2 linked regions of the Danio rerio genome follow. The main gene of each other region encodes a partner of the protein of the gene in region 2 in a complex. Links are inferred from orthologs where the notes say so. Each region holds a gene or a part of one and is shown on either strand. Other genes may lie near its edges.

The links. The genes of interacting proteins can lie anywhere in the genome.
Region 1: mta3 (region 2) and cdk2ap2 share a complex: the UniProt entries of both Homo sapiens proteins name them as parts of the nucleosome remodeling and deacetylase (NuRD) repressor complex. The link is inferred for Danio rerio from reciprocal best matches to the Homo sapiens genes MTA3 and CDK2AP2.

What each region holds. Positions count from the first base shown.
Region 1 is NC_133176.1:43,112,252-43,120,268, reverse strand, and holds the start of cdk2ap2 (cyclin-dependent kinase 2-associated protein 2), read left to right. Parts: upstream 1-3,819; 5' UTR 3,820-4,027; intron 4,028-4,299; 5' UTR 4,300-4,404; coding exon 4,405-4,459; intron 4,460-4,893; coding exon 4,894-4,985; intron 4,986-6,899; coding exon 6,900-7,020; intron 7,021-8,017. UniProt on the Homo sapiens protein: Acts as a component of the histone deacetylase NuRD complex which participates in the remodeling of chromatin.
Region 2 is NC_133187.1:27,001,474-27,009,728, reverse strand, and holds the start of mta3 (metastasis-associated protein MTA3), read right to left. Parts: upstream 4,315-8,255; 5' UTR 4,254-4,314; exon of another isoform or gene 4,150-4,253; 5' UTR 4,112-4,149; coding exon 4,084-4,111; intron 720-4,083; coding exon 652-719; intron 1-651. UniProt on the Homo sapiens protein: Acts as a component of the histone deacetylase NuRD complex which participates in the remodeling of chromatin.

The sequences.
Region 1 (8,017 bases), on a different chromosome or scaffold from region 2:
GCTTCAGCTATAATTCATTCAAGAATATTAATAATACCACACTCATAAAAAATCACACTATGACAAATTCTGATGTGAAAACTAAAGGAGTATAAAACATTTATACATGTTTGTCTATTTAACTCTTATGTACTGTTAGGGAGGTTTTTATCCACTCTGGGGTCATTTTGAGTCTTAATTTGGCCATAACTTTTTCAGTGTTTCAGCTAGCAGAATGATTTTAATGACAAATCTTATTTTGACACATATATTAAGAAAATGCTTTGGATTTAATTTTTTTTTTACTTAATGATACACTCTGAGCAAATGTACTACCGTGTGGTTATGTTAGAGATGAAAACATCCACTGAAATAAACTGCTGTAAAATGCATCAGATAAACCTTTTTTAAAAATTTATTTGCACAAATCTGTTAATCAACCTCAGTCCAGATCAAAATTACTAAGTTGTTAAGAAATCTACAGGATTTTAACTCCTTAAATGGCAAATTCATAAATGATGTCATTGATTTGGTGAAAAAAAACACACAAATGATTACATATTTTCAATAATACAATAAGTAATTGTGGATTGGATTTTTTTTAACCTTTTATCACAATCTTGGACAGTTGAAACAACCGTGGGGCTGTTTTTGCCTCATTGGCTTCCATTATAACCACATTTTTTTTCATTACAAAACCATTACACAATATACATATGCATTTTTGATTTTCCCTGTTGAGAGGAGGTAAGTTTTGCAATTTTTACTGTTGATCATAAGTTGGTACCATTAAGCCTTTAGATACACCTGTGAAAAAAGTTTAGTTTCTGGATTTTATATGGAGTATTTATTCATTCATTCATTTTCTATTCGGCTTAGTTCCTCTATTAATCTGGGGTCGCCACAGCTGAATGAACCGCCTATATGCAGTATAAAAGCAAACTAAAGTGTGTCTGTGAGTTTGTGAAAGTGTTACATTGATGTGTCTAAGAAAATCAAAATATACATCTCAGCTCTCCGAACTACATGGAGTAAATAAAAACAAACATATATGCACCATCAAATGTGCTTATAAAGGAAGTCAATGGGCCAAAAACAGCCATCAACAATAAATTAGGGAAAAACTTTAAATCTAACAATGCATCAAAGCCAGTGTTGTTACTAATCATTCACATGTCTAAGACTGTAAAAAAAATCCACAACTACTTTTTATATTGAAAATAGGTCATTTTGTGTGTTTTGTGAGTAGTAAATTTGAACAGTGCACAAGAGTTAATGAATAAATAAATAGTTGGCTGTCTGAGCGGTTGGTTTTCAACCAAATTACTGATCTCACTTTGGCAGATCTAGTATTCGTAAGCAGATTATCCATCTCACTATGCACATAACAAGCCAGAGGATCCAGCTAATGCATCCTGATTAACTGACATTTTCTTTCAGTCAGATGTCAGAGTGGTCAGTAGACATCTATATTGTTTAAAAATAATGGACACATTATACTAAAGCACCCTGCAGCCCAAGACTGGTTACTCACTGAAGATAAGCAGAGCTGAGCCTGGTCAGTGGGAGACCAAATGGGTTGCTGTTGGAACTAAGTGGTTTTAGTGAGGCCAGCAGGGGTGCTCAACCTGCAGACTGTGTAAGTCCTAATGCCCCAGTAAAGTGAAGGGGACACAATAAAGCTAAAGATCTTTGCCCGAACCTGACAGGACCCGGCGGTAAAGCGCTAAACATCAAGCTGACAGGTAAAAAGACGAGGTCACTCGCTACATTGAAACCGCTGTAATGGGAAATTAAATGGATGTTCCTGGCTGGTAGAAGATGAACAAACAATCCTACCCAAAATTAGCCAGATCAGACCTATGCATCTAGGCCTGTAGCAGCAGCAGTGAAAGGGTGTTCGGTGCCGCTGGATGCACCATCCTGAGCACAGGACTGCGCTAAAGCAATTTACAGTGGATTCAATAATGTTCCTCCACAAAAACACGTAGCCTAATCTTGGTGAGTAAAGGGTTTTTAAATGATAAATAAATATTAATTAAACCATAAAATCATAATGTGGACAGAGTATACAGACTAATGTTGGCATTAGGCTATTCTTTTAATATTCTGCTTCACCGTCGCCTTAAGGCCAGATTGTGAAGAGAAGTGGCGAAACAAATCCCTCAGAGCCTTTATCTAAATTTTGTTATTGCCAAATACCCGTCATAATTTACAATTCATTTTAATTTAATTTGTTAAGAAAGACTTCTTTTCATGGGTGTGTTGGCCAATTTAAAGGCTAGGTGAATGTAGCTAGGCTTTTACACTCTCAGAAATGAAGGTAGAAGCTGTCACTGGGGGCTGGTACCTTTACAAAAGGTAAGAATTTGTACCTAAAAGGTCCATATTAGTACCAAAAAAGTACAAGTAGGTACTAATATATACCTATGAGGTACCAATAAGGACCTTTCAAGTTCAAATGTGTACCTTTTGAAAAGGCACCACACCCCAGTGACAGCTTGCGTACCTTTATTTCTGAGAGTGTAGAGCGCCGAGATGTTACGATGTTACAGAGGACTTATTTTATTTCTTTGTTCCAACTTCCAAGTGGCCTATAGCCTACGTTTGTTACGAATAAATTATGTTGAAACATATAAATGACTCATTCTTGAAAAAAAGGCAAACGAGCTGTGTGCCTGTGCACATTTGAATAATGTCAGGCTGTAAACGGGTTTGGCCTTTTAAAAAGCTGTCAATCAAAATGTCCCTGTCGGGCTCACGCCGAATTCTGTTGGGCTTGGGCCCTGTCGAGCCTAATTTTTATGGCCCAATTACAGCTCTAAGACACAACTGTCAGTGAGTGCCGTCTTTCAGATGTTAAACTGAGGTCCTGACTCTCTTTGGTTAATGAAACTTTTCATAAAAGAGTAGGGGTTTAATCCCAGGGTAATCGCCAAAATTCTCTCAATTAGCCCTTACCCATCATGGCCTCCCAATCATCCCCATCCACCGAATTGGGTCTATCACTGTCTCGCCACTCCACCAATAGCTGGGGTGTGGTGAGCCCAGTGACGCTGTAGTCCTGTGTCTGTTGTGGCGTACAGTCTAGGTACGTGGCCGGCCGGAAGTGAGATATGCACATAAATATAGCAGCATTTTTTTGTGATTCTATAACAATAATTAATGTTTTTAATAAATTAATATTTTTCAACAGTACATTTTTGTACTGTTGGGTCAGTAAGATTGGGTGTAGGATTGGGGTGCGGGTAGACAATAACAAAATACAATGGGAAATGTAAAAATAAATAATATAAATCATTCTCGCTAGCTTCTGCCAAAGCCGTGTGCGATCTAGTGACAACCCTGGTGTGGTGGTGGTGTGGAGAGACCTTCACATGATTGTGAAGTACTACAGTTATATTGGCCATACATGATAAAATGCAATATATATAAAAAATACGCATTTACAAAATAAATAATAAAAAAAATTGTAGACTGCAAAATGTGTGTTTAATGTATCACTTTGGCATTAAAGACTTCCAAACAGGCATACAATAATGCATAGTTTGCTCTAGCTGGCTCTATTTCATCAATTACAAAATAATATTATCTAATAATCATAATCATAATAATAATAATAAACGCCTTCGACTATCAACATTCCACACGCTTATATTACCAACTCACTGTTTTCCACTTTCTACAAACAAGAAAAATCCAGAATGAAATCTTCATTGTGGAAAAGAGAGGGAGAAGGGGAGAGAGAGGCGGCAGAGGCGCGTGCCTGATGACGCAGTCACTCTTTTTGCCGAGTATCATGGGAAAATAACATAGCAGGCTAGCACGCGCAGGAAGAGAGGAGAAGAACCGACACCTCCGCGCACAGAAACTATTCCCGTGCGTTAATATTCATATTTACCTCCCCGAACAACTACAAACCGGCGAACAGAAACCACATTTAACCGTTCAGCGAGTCGTGAAGTGTTCCCGGTTGTTGTTGTCGGTTTCATTTGTCGGCTTGTTGGATATTTAGCGCGTGTCGCTGTCGAGCGAGTTTGCGGAAGAGGTGGGTTGTTAAATGTACCTTTCATAAATCACCACAGGCATCCTGCCGTCTTTAAACCACAAACTATATGTTTACAACTCTATGAACGCTGCACGTGGTGTACATTTTCACAAAATAGTGAAAAGTCTGTCAAATGCGGGCGATTTAAATGGACAAGTCGCGGTTTTCGAGCCGGTTAAGTTGAGAGGGGACCGTCATTGCTGTCCGCTAGCCTTTATCTTGTCTCACCTCACTATGCATATCTATACATCTGCTCTTTGTGTTCGCATTAGGTCAACGCCGTTCCTGCTTCGGACGCCAAAGCCCAACGAGATTACATTCGGGGGATAAGCAGAAAGTTTTCATCACGCGAGGTTACAGTCGACGGCGGTGTAAATATGAGTTACAAGCCGATCGCCCCCGCACCCACCGGCTCCAACCACACTCCTCCAGGTGAGTTTCATTGTGCTCTCTGTTCATTCATTTTTACGTGCTTCTTTCATTTTGAGGTATTTTACGCCTATCATCTTTTTAAACGCCCCGTTTTAATCCCAAGGAAAGGGTCAGTGAACCTACAGTAAAAGAGGTCAGAGGCACGGATAAAAGGGGGAGGAGTTAAAGGAGCCATGGCCATCTGTCTTGCTCATTACATAAATGTGGTTTAACGTGCTGCTAACCGCGCCCTGCAGCGTTTATTTTTAAAACCATAACTGTTTCCCCAGTGTTAGTGTTGTGCCATCACATCTGTGTGTCCCAGTCTTGCCTCTGTTTCTCCTCACTTCCTTACACACACAAACACACTGGGTGGCAACGTTTCATTGGTCGAATTTGGCCTTTTGACATTTCCTTGATTTGTGATTGGTCTTTATCTTGTTCTCTGGTTTCAGGATCTTGTGGCTCTTCTCCATCACTGGCCTCCTCTTCAAACTTTAGACCAGCATTTAGTGACTTCGGTCCTCCATCGATGGGCTTTGTACAGGCATGTTTTGATGACATTGGGGTTTTTTTGCAATTTGCTGTATTGGAACAATGATTAATTTCAAACCTGTACATTTCTGTTCTTTTTGACACGACCAGTCAAAATTTTGAACTACGTTTTTCAGATGTTTTTGGAAAAGCCTCCTTGGCTCACTGTGGCTGCATTATTTAATGAATATAATATAATTGCTGTAATGTTGTGTTTAACATTTTTATAATACAATTTTATGAACAATTAACACATTTATATAGGCATTGGGGCATAAATGAGGCAGTGTATGTTTTGGTTTCATATTATGTTAAGATTAAATGTAAGTGTTCTTGTAATTAAAATATCCAAAACCCAGTAAAAGTGTTTTTTTGCTAACTTGTGTACTTGCTTTATCTCAAATGTTAAGTAGAAATTGAGAGAAGTGAGCAGTTTTAACTTGACACAACCGTGTCCAGTGTTGCCATGCTAATTATGTCATACATTTGGTGGCAAAGAGAGCTGAACGTGCTGCAATTTAAGAAACTACAAAAAACAAAAAAATAGCTATTACAAAAAACGGCAGCAAATTGAGAAAAGATCTTCATCGGTTTGACAGCACACGTGCTGCATTTTCGCACAACGCAAACAAATAATAAAATACGCTGCATTTTCACACAACGCAAACCTTTTACGACACAGTTTTTGGGTCACCTTGAAACATTTTCGTTGAGTCAAGTTTTTTGTGTTGTGAGCAAAATCAGTGCGTTTTCGTAAATTGTTTGAGTGTGACAAAATGCAGTGCGTTTTCGTATAAATTGTTTTATTGTAAAAAATGCAGTGCATTTTTGAAAACGAGTATGACAAAATGCAGTGCGTTATTTAAATTGTGTGTGACAAAATGCAGTGCATTTTCGTAAATTGTTTGCATTGTGAGAAAATGCAGTGCATTTTCGTAAACTGAGTGACAAAATGCAGTGCGTTTTTGTAAATTGTTTGAGTGTGTCAATGCAGTGCATTTTCGTAAATTGTTTACGTTTTGAGAATTCAGTGCGTTTTCGTAAATTGTTTGGGTTGTAAAAAATGCAGTGCGTTTTCTTAAACTGTTTGCGTTGTGAGAATGCAGCTGTTTTATTATTTTTTTTGTGTTAAAAAAGCAGTGCGTTTTTTATTTATTTATTTTTTTTTATGTTTGCGTTGGGAGAATTCGCAGCACAGCTGTCAAATGGATAAGGATCTTTACTAAATTTGCTTGCGAGTTTTGTAATTGCGCGTGTTTACTTAAATTGCAGCACATTGAGCTCTCTCGGCCACTGTACATATACCCTTGATTTATGTTTTGCTTTTATAGAAAACTGAAAATGACGGTCCTTGTTTTATGTCGCATATTTTATTAGACTAATCAGAGCAGCAGTATAACAGAAGCCTAAAATTTATTTAGTATGATAAAACTGCTGTGCTGCTTCACATGATCACAATTTGGGGGAAAAAAGGAAGAGGTTGACTGTGGCATAATAAAAGCTCCACTGTTTTTCTGCTATGTCGCACTCTTCTCTTATCAGCAATTGCTTGATTGCTTGGAAGTCCTAATTCCAAAATGTCATTTATTTCTTTAGAGGCAAAGCAGAATTTTCATTATCGTTATTTCAGTCATCAGTGTGACCTGATAGAATCATTTGTAAAACAACATAATTATTTAAAATATTTGTTTGAATATTAGTTTCCTAAACTGAAAGTGCAACCCATAATTTAACATTTTAACATACATTTGGATAAAGATAGCCAGAATGGCTTTAAATTCCCCTAAAATTCAAAGTATTGAGCCATAAATTATAAATCTTTTTGAATAATTACAAACTTTTGATTTGTAGTGTGTATTACACTTTTTTTTGTAAATAGGGTGTCACACAGACTTCCTCAACGGCTGTCTTGTTTTGTTTTTTGTAGCCGGTCAAAGTGTCCCAGGGATCTACCTATAGTGAGCTGCTCTCCGTCATTGAGGAGATGAGCCGTGAAATTCGGCCTACCTACGCCGGCAGCAAAAGTGCCATGGAGAGACTGAAGAGAGGTACTCCAAAGCCTTCTGAGCACAGTACAGCATGCAGCACATTTGTAACAGTCAGTGACGTTTAGCCCCCTGGAGTAATGTGAGCCTAAGGGCAGTCGAGAGAGTTGTTCTCAGTTTTTCAGTTCTGTGTTCGTGCAGTGTTGCTTTTGCCTGCTCTAAGAAAGGCTTTTGCATTTTACTCTGACTTATTGTTCCTAATGCTGCTTTGTGCCAAGCCTTATACACTACCTGACAAAAGTTTTGTCGTCGATCCCAGTTGTAAGAGTAAAAAAACTTGATCTCTGGTTGATCTTTTGGAAAAGTGGCAGAACATCGATTTCTTTTTTTTCAGATGAATCATGTTTTGAACTGCATCCCCAATCATTATAAATACTAAAGATGACCTATTGGAACGCGCTTGGACCCACGATTCTCTCAGAAATCAGTCTAGTTTGATAAAGGAAAAATCACGTTTGAGGTTATATTCAGTATGGGGGCGTGCGAGAGATCTGCAGAGTGGATGACAACATCAATAGCGCGAGATATCAAGACATTTGTGCTGCCCGATACATTACTAAACCACAGAAGAGGGCAAATCCCTCAGCAGGATAGCAGTCCTTATACATCAACCTCCACATCAAAGTTCCTGAAAGCAAAGAAGGTCAAGGTGCTCCAGGATTGGCCAGCCCAGTCACCAGATATGAACTTTATTGATCATGTCTGGGGTAAGATGGAGGCAGTGAATATGAATCCAAATAATCTTGATGAACTCTGGGAGTCCTGCAAGAACACTTTCTTTGCCATTCCAGATGGATTTAATAATAAGTTATTTGAGTCATTGCAGAGATGTAGGGATGCAGTCGTCCAAGCTCTTGGGAGTCACAATATTACATACACAATATTAATTCTTTATAATAATATTAATTTCTTACATTTATATAGCACTTTTCTAGACTCTCAATTGGCTTTACACATCGGTGGGGGATCTCCTCATCCACGACCCGTGTGCAGCTTCCAC
Region 2 (8,255 bases):
TAAAGTCTGGCCGAAAAAAATAATGCAGACAAGGTGCATCTCAATGGCCGCAGGGAAATCATTTGTTTGGATGCTCGACAGAGCTTATGTGCAAGGCCAAAGCAGAAAAAAACCTGAAGAGAACTGAATATGCCAAACAGCGAGGTCTATCTTTTGAAAAAATATATCAATATAGTAGATCTAATAACTAATCGATGAGAATAGTGTGCAAGGAGTATGCTGACAATGAAAGCAGAATGGCAAAAGACTAATTTGAATTATGCATTGTGTTTAAAAAGGGCTGTTTAAAAAATCCTTCAGCATTTAATATTTAAAGAGCTGAATCTTCTTTGATCATAATACAGACGTCCTACAGGGGGAGAAAAAAAGATGTCGGTTTCACACCACAGCCTACTTCTCTAAGGGACTCCTGGATGCAGTCTGGTGTTTTGCGTATCTCACACAGATATGGTTTCTCGGCAAACAAGGTTTGGAGTGAAAACACAACAGACTGACGGAAGAAGCATACAGAAATGCAAGTAATTTAGCTCTGTGTGAAGTGGCTAAGCTTTTTTACGTCAATGTCATGACAATGTTGTGTCGACACCCTACTAGTACACCCACTGTCCGACTAGCTACATCTCCCTCCCAGCCCTGAGGGTAATAATGTACCTTATTCAGTTCCTCTATTCGCCTGATCAGATAGGGGTTGCTTGAAGAATTCTCAAAGAAGACATAATCTGCAGAAGAAGAAAAAAAATTTTTGTTGGAAGTCAAAACTTGGGTTTGGATGATAGTTAAATGTCTCAGAGACTCGGAAAACAAAAAAACAACAACATCACACACAAAAAAACAGGAAAATGGTGAACATCATTATACTATTATATACATCACTATACTATTGTACAAATTCATCTAACTCTATATACTAAACATGGATGTAATTGGGACACTATATCTTCTTTGATAAGAAATTTTACCAAACAAATGCAAACTAGAAATCCCGAACCTGTCATTGTATAAAATTACATTAAATACAACTCGAAACAATGAACTGGGGCACGACTGGTTCCCGCTGATATTTATTCATTAGAAGGTTTACAAATTGTATTATGAAGGATTTGTGTTTACCAGTCCACAAGTAAAAAGGAGGGAACATTGACTACGTTTACATGGACATCAGTAATCAAATTATTAGCTTTAATCTGAATAAGACAATAACATGGTTAAGTTGTTAACATGAGTTGCTTTTTGAATGTCCCTGTTATGTTTTACATGTTAAAAGCACATAATTCGATTAATTTCGTTGGGCCACCACACTATCCACATTTCCTCTGGAGTTTTATTTTTAATTTGTTGACTTTAACTGCAATTTGGCACTTCACTTTCATTCAACAATATCTCATGTATGCCCCCTTAGACAAACGAAATATTGAATGCGAGTATGAACTGCTGCAAGAGTGTTGTTTTAATGAAATTTGATACCAGACACCTTATTGAGAAAAACACCTCTGCATTTCACGATGCAGGTGTCTGTAGTCCTTCACTGACTTGGTAGGTGCAAAGAATAATGTCAAACAGCCGTGTGTTTGTGTATAGACCAGGTGTGGGCAAACTTGATCCTGGAGGGCCAGTGTCCTGCATAGTTTAGCTCCAACCTTATTCAAATAGACCTCATCATAGAGTTCTAGTGATCTTGAAGACACTGATTGGTTTGTTCAGGTGTGTTTGACTAGTGTTGGAACAAAGCTCTGCAGGGACACCGGCCCTCGAGGATCAAGTTTGCCCATCCCTGGTATAGACTACTGTATCTTGACGCAAAATGCGGCGAAAATCCTACACAACAGTACCAGTTTGATTAAAATGTTTACATGTCTGTACTGCACTTCAATACTGCAACTAGATCGGCATGTGCCACATGTTGTAATTTGATTTCTGTTTAGTTCGATTATGACGTTAATTAGATTTTTTTATTGTGGTTTACATGGTAGACTCTTAATCAGAGTATTGTCTCAAATCAGATAATTGTTGTCCATGTAAACAATAACTGATGTTTAAATCCATCTCATTTGGCCACTTCAGTAAATTAGTAAAGTAGCCAAATGAGATGGATTTAAACATCCATTATTGTTTACATGGATAATAATAATCCATTTCGAGACAATACTCTGATTAAGAGTCTACCATGTAAACCACAATAAAAAAATAACAATCCAATTAATGTCATAATCGAACTAAACAGAAATCGAATTACAACATGTGCCACATGCCGATCTAGTTGCAGTATTGAAGTGCAGTACAGACATGTAAACATTTAAGAGAGTCTATGTTTGGATGTATGAATGAGCCATTTGTCATTTTTATATATAATATTGTGATATAAGCTTGTGGACCATATATTTAAGCATGAAAATAAGGAGTGAAGCAGGTTTTGTTTCTGCTTTTATAGCCAGAAAACTACATTAAACACCAGACATGCTTTCATGCACCAATTTCTGTTCATCTAAATGAATTAAATCGAATTGCACATCAGTTTACACAATCTAAAAACTATCATCAGATTCAAACATCAGTTTATTTGCTTTATACATTCTGATTGAAACATTTGCGACTGAAACTTGTGACATCATATCACACTTTAGAAAACAGCATGGAAGTAACACCAACAGATCTCATTATTGCTATTTTTGCCCTGTTGGCAACGACATACACATTCGTAAACCAGCAACATACATTTTTTGTGAAATTTTACTTTTTCCATCGATAAGTTCTCTACCTGATGCCATCATGGCAACTAAAGGCATGTATGTAAACTTAAACACCATGTATTTCAAGTCACAGCACTGTGCATATGCCTCGGACAATTTTGCACACTAAAGAATTTTTGGGTAAAGGATACATTCCTTACAGTTAGGCATAACTGATAACATTATCATTTCGATTGCAGGAATTCTTCTTGCACTTACATTACGGTAATGATGAAAATCCCTAGAAATGGCACATTTTATAATGCAATGTTTTTTTTTACTATTCTAAAACATTACCAATTGTGTTGTGTGACCTGACAAGACACTAAGACCTTCAGCTTGGCCTTTGACTGAGGCTAAGAAATGGTTTGTTTCTGGGATACATTTGTATATATAGCATTTGTCAAAAACAAGACGACGAGGTGAAGAATGTGCATTCATTAACAAACACTTCATTCATGCAAACAAGCATTTTCTCTTCATTGCCATTTAAATGACATTCTTACACATGTATCAACACATAACATCACACAAGGAGCATGTCATAAGGTAACCGCGCAAAGTATTCAATTATTACAAATGCTATTAGATTTGCAGTGAATTCATAGGAAGTTTGCTCGTCCAGCTGCAAAAGCATTTTCAATGGCACTGCATTATCGCCGCCATGAAACAATGTCAAATTCCGCGGCATGTAGCCGGCTAATTGCACAAACAAACGACGCGACGGTATTGTTAAATACACGCTGTTAATTACACGCGTGACAACAAATGCACATCAAAACAGTGCAAATTCTTAACGCTTCGGCAAATAAGTGGGCAGAAGTTGAATGTGGTTTCTCTAAGGAAATCGAGTGAGGGGTGTTAAATGCTAGCTCGCTTTGCTACCTTGCATGCCGAATGAGAACCCGTAACTAATGGATACGTGCCAAAAAATGAGACAAATGATCACAAAGAAAAACATCGGCGTCTAAAATTGCAATGGTTAAATAGCAAGCATATCTCGCTTTTAACCTATGTGGGTAAATCTAAGAGAAACGTGCTCTAAGTGCGCGTTTCCGATTGTTTTACATATAGTAGTGATTATTTGTTTATGATGTGGCTAGCTAGCAACATAGCCTGCTTGCTAAAATGCTAGTGCGGCTATGATAGTTTAAGAGGCCTGACCCAAATCAGAACCCAAAATATTCTGCATCCACGTTATCGTTTTCTTTTGCAAGGACACTGCACGTGTTAAAGAGTTTAAAAGTGAGCGGCCGGTTTCGGGAATTCGCTTGAAATGAGTCCCTGCCTTCCAGTCAGGTCTTACGGTGGTGCCTGTGTTTTGACTTGCGTTAATTCAGAATATAGACGGACATACCTCCGACCCGGTACATGTTGGCCGCCATTTCTGCCCTCCCGGAGTGTTAAAAAACCAAACCATAAACTAAAATAAAAACAAAATAAATATGTGAATCAAGAAGGCATCTACGTCCTGTGACCTGTTGGAAAGCAATCTGGCTTAAGAAGTTTTAAATAAGGGGGGTGGACCTCAGTAAGAATAGGAGATTTTTTTGCAGCCCCCCTCCCGAGATTCACAGTACAATACAGTAACTCACTCACGCGCTAGAAAAGGCTCGAGCGCAGCAGCTTCCTGATGATGAGATGAGAGGAGGAGAGAAAAGAGGAGGGAAGGAAGAAGGAGGGTGAATGAAGTCTACAGACTGCAACCTCAACACGACACTCATGACTGTTTTACCCACAGAATTCAATTAATCATGGTTTTGATGTGCATTTAAATCATTTAAAATAACGTTTTCATATTTTGCCAGTTTTTTTGTTATGACAATAAGTGTCTTTTAAAAGCTGTCAATTGTGGAAAACAAGATTGATATACTTGATTCACTGTTTAATTTAGTTTTGAACATATCACAACCCGATGCACAATGTTTTAGCAACCTATTTATATGAGTGGCAAAACCCAGTTAACACCAATAATAAATGCTGACACTTTGTTTGGTTTTATTAGCATGCTACTTTATCTGTCTGTGTCTGTTGTTCTTAAAAAATACTTTTATTGAGGTTTTAATAGTTTAAACAATATATTGTATATGAAATAATAATATATTTAACAACCGAAAAAGTACTTGCCTTTCAATCTGCTGTGAATTTATTATTATTATTTATTTTTTCTTTTATTTACCTCATTAAGGTGGCACAGTGGCTCAGTGGTTAACACTATCGCCTCACAACTAGAGGGTTGCTGATTCAAGTCCTGGCTGTGTCAGTTGGCATTTCTGGGTGGAGTCTGCATGCTCTCCCTGTGTTTGTGTGGGTTTCCTCCAGGTGCTCCGGTTTCCCCCACAGTCCAGAGCAAAGGTGTAGATTTGGCCTGGATGGAGGGCATATGTCCCCACCAATATCTATCAATTACTGAACTATCCCCACCAATAATTGAATCACCTTCAAAATAAAATAATGCTCCATCAACCCTTGTTAACCTAGATATGCAGAAATGGTTAGTGACATTCTCTTCCTGGGTCCTCCCTCCCACAAACACATAAGGACAGTGTGATTGGCTGGGCCTATTTATGCTGTTATTGACAGCTTTAATTAAAAATCAAATAGTCCTCATTAATTAGTCACTTTTGGTAAAATCATGAATGAATAAACATAATGAAACTGCCTTTCCAGTACAGGGGTTCATGAATTAGTGTACTCTCGGGGTTGGGTTGCGGGTATGAAGGGCATCCAAATCATATGCCAGACTAATTGGTGGTTTCTTCCGCGGTGGCAACCCCTGATAAAACAGGAACTAAGCTTAAAGAAGATGAGCGAGGGAGCAAGTAACAGCCACCAAAGACCAACCATTAAGAAAAGTCAACACATAGCCTTGCATTGACTCACTCACTATCCTTCATTTATTAGTGGTCGCCACAGCAGATTGAACCGGCAATTACTCTGGCATATGTTTTATGCAGCCCTTCCAGCTGCAACCCAGTGAGGAGAAAGACCCATACACTCTCTCATTCACACACACATTCTTTCACTGTGTGTGATTTATTTATAAAATAATTTCGAGAGGATCTTGTGCTTATGATCAACACGGCTGGCACCTCATTAGCTCTGTAATCTGCTCTATTAGATGATTACGGAAGCATTATAAATAACCAAAGTTTTTCACTCCAGTTATATTCGTCTTGGAGCCCCCCCCCCCCTTCCACCCCTACTTTCCACCCTTTTTTTCCATAGGGCGACACGGTGGCCCAGTGGCCAGCACTGTTGCCTCACAGCAAGAACACAGCTGGTCCAACCTCCTATCGGGCTTGTAGGCTTTTCTGTGCGGAGTTTCTATGTTCTCCCCGTTTTCTTATGGGTTTTCCCTGGGTTCCTCAGTTTCCTCCCACCATCCAAAAGCATACACCATAGCCAATCGACTAAACCAAATTAACCCAAGACAACCTTAGTTTACACTTCTCACACGGCTACAAGCAGGGGAGATCTCGAGACCTACCTGAGCTTTAACTCCCCTCTAGCCCTTCTAACGGGAGGGAGCCCTGGGCTCGAGGATATTACGAGCTCAGGGCTCTCTCCTGGGACAGCATGTCAATTACGTTCTATTGATTATAAGTTAAGTGTGAACTCTTGAAGGCCAATTAAGTTTACCCAATTCATGCATGTCTTAGGACTGTGGGGGAAACCAAAGCACCCGGAGGGAACATGCAAACTCCAAAAAAAAAAATCTCCTGGCCCAGCTGGGACTTGAACCAGTGACCTACTTGCTGTAAGGCGACAGCTAACTACTGAGCCACCTGCATCATCTGTGTTGAGACGAAAAAAAAAAAAGTTGCACTAGAGCAGGGATGCTCAACCATGCTCCTGGAGATCTATCTTCCTGCAGAGCTCCAACCGTGACAAACACACCTGAGCCAATTAATTTAGACCTGAACAGCACTTGTTAATTACAGGGAGGTGCGTTTGATATGGGTTACAACTGAAATCTGCAGGAAGGCATCTCCAGGAATAGGGTTGGTCACCCCTGCAGTAGAGGTCTTCTGCCATGCTCCTGGAGGCATCACTATCCAGTAGAGTCAGTCTCCTGCAAAGATTAGTTCCAACCCCAATCAGTGGGTGGAGTCCTGCAAAGTTTAGTCCTAACCCCAATAAGACACAGCTGGACTAGCTAATCAGGCTCTTAAAGGCTTTCTAGAAACATCCTTGCAGGTGTGTTGAGGTAAGTTGGAGCTGAAATCTGCAGGACACTGGCCCTCCTGGACCGAGTTTCGACACCCCTGCAGTAGAGCTTATAGCTTCTACATCTGGTGGCGCTGAGGTTGGAAATAAACATTGCAGGTCAGTGGGTCACAGAGTGGAGCTGAAACACAGCACATAAAGGCCACTCGCCAAATCTCATGTGCAGTGTGTGCTTTTTTTCGTTTACATCAGGGGTGTCCAAACTTGGTCCAGGAGGGCTGGTGTCCTGGAGAGTATAGCTGCGTCCCAAATCGCATACTTATGCACTATTCTACGCCATTTTGTAGTATAAATAGTGTAAGTAGTGTGTTCACACTGAAAAATCTTAAAATAATAAGTGCACTTTAATTACCCGGATGATGCACTCATTCAGCCGCTAAAATGAAGTGTGTAATGATGGACACTTCACGCACTCAACGACCGCAGGTTTGCTTACGTAGCGGAAGGGGCGGAGCTATCGGACGCACATGTTGGATAACTTTATTTATTTTGGATGGAGAAAGCAAAATTCTCCTACGAGAGTGATTATAGCGCCTCCGGATGGTGAATGCGGCAACACTCACGGCAGGTAATATTTGATAATTCGGTCGTTTATTTCACTGATTTGGCGACCGTCAAACGTCATCAGGGAAACGGTTTGAATTTCCGTTTAGTAAAAAAACATTAGTGTGCCATTTGGGACGACACTACATACATGTACTATCCTGTTGAGTGTGTAAGTGCATAAGTACATAGTGCATGAGTGCATAGTGTATAGTGTGCCATTTGGGACGCAGCTTATATCTCACACTTGCTTTAACACACCTTCCAGGAAGTTTCTAGTATCTAGTAAGAGCTTGATTAGCTGGTTCAGGTGTATTTGATTAGAGTTGGAGCTAAACTCTCCAGGATACCGGCCATTCAGGACTGGGTTTGCACACCCCTGGTTTACATGCTTTGCCACAAATTCATTGCAGATTTAATCTAAAACAGCTGATAGATTCTGCCCAATCATGCCAGCACCACTAACCTGATTTCAGCAATAGCACATGTTCCTGTACATGTTTATCTATGTTGATCCTGGAATAGCATTTCAATCGGCCAATCAGAATGAAGGGATACGCTTACCCTTTATGTTAAGGTTAGACTTATGGTTTACACCAGAGGTCACCAATCTCAGTCCTGGTGGGTCGGTGTCCCTGCAGGGTTTAGTTCCAACTTGCCTCAACACATCTGCCTGGGTGTTTCAACTATACCTAGTAGGACCTTGATTAGCTTGTTCAGGTGTGTTTGATTAGGGTTGGAGCTAAAATCTGCAGG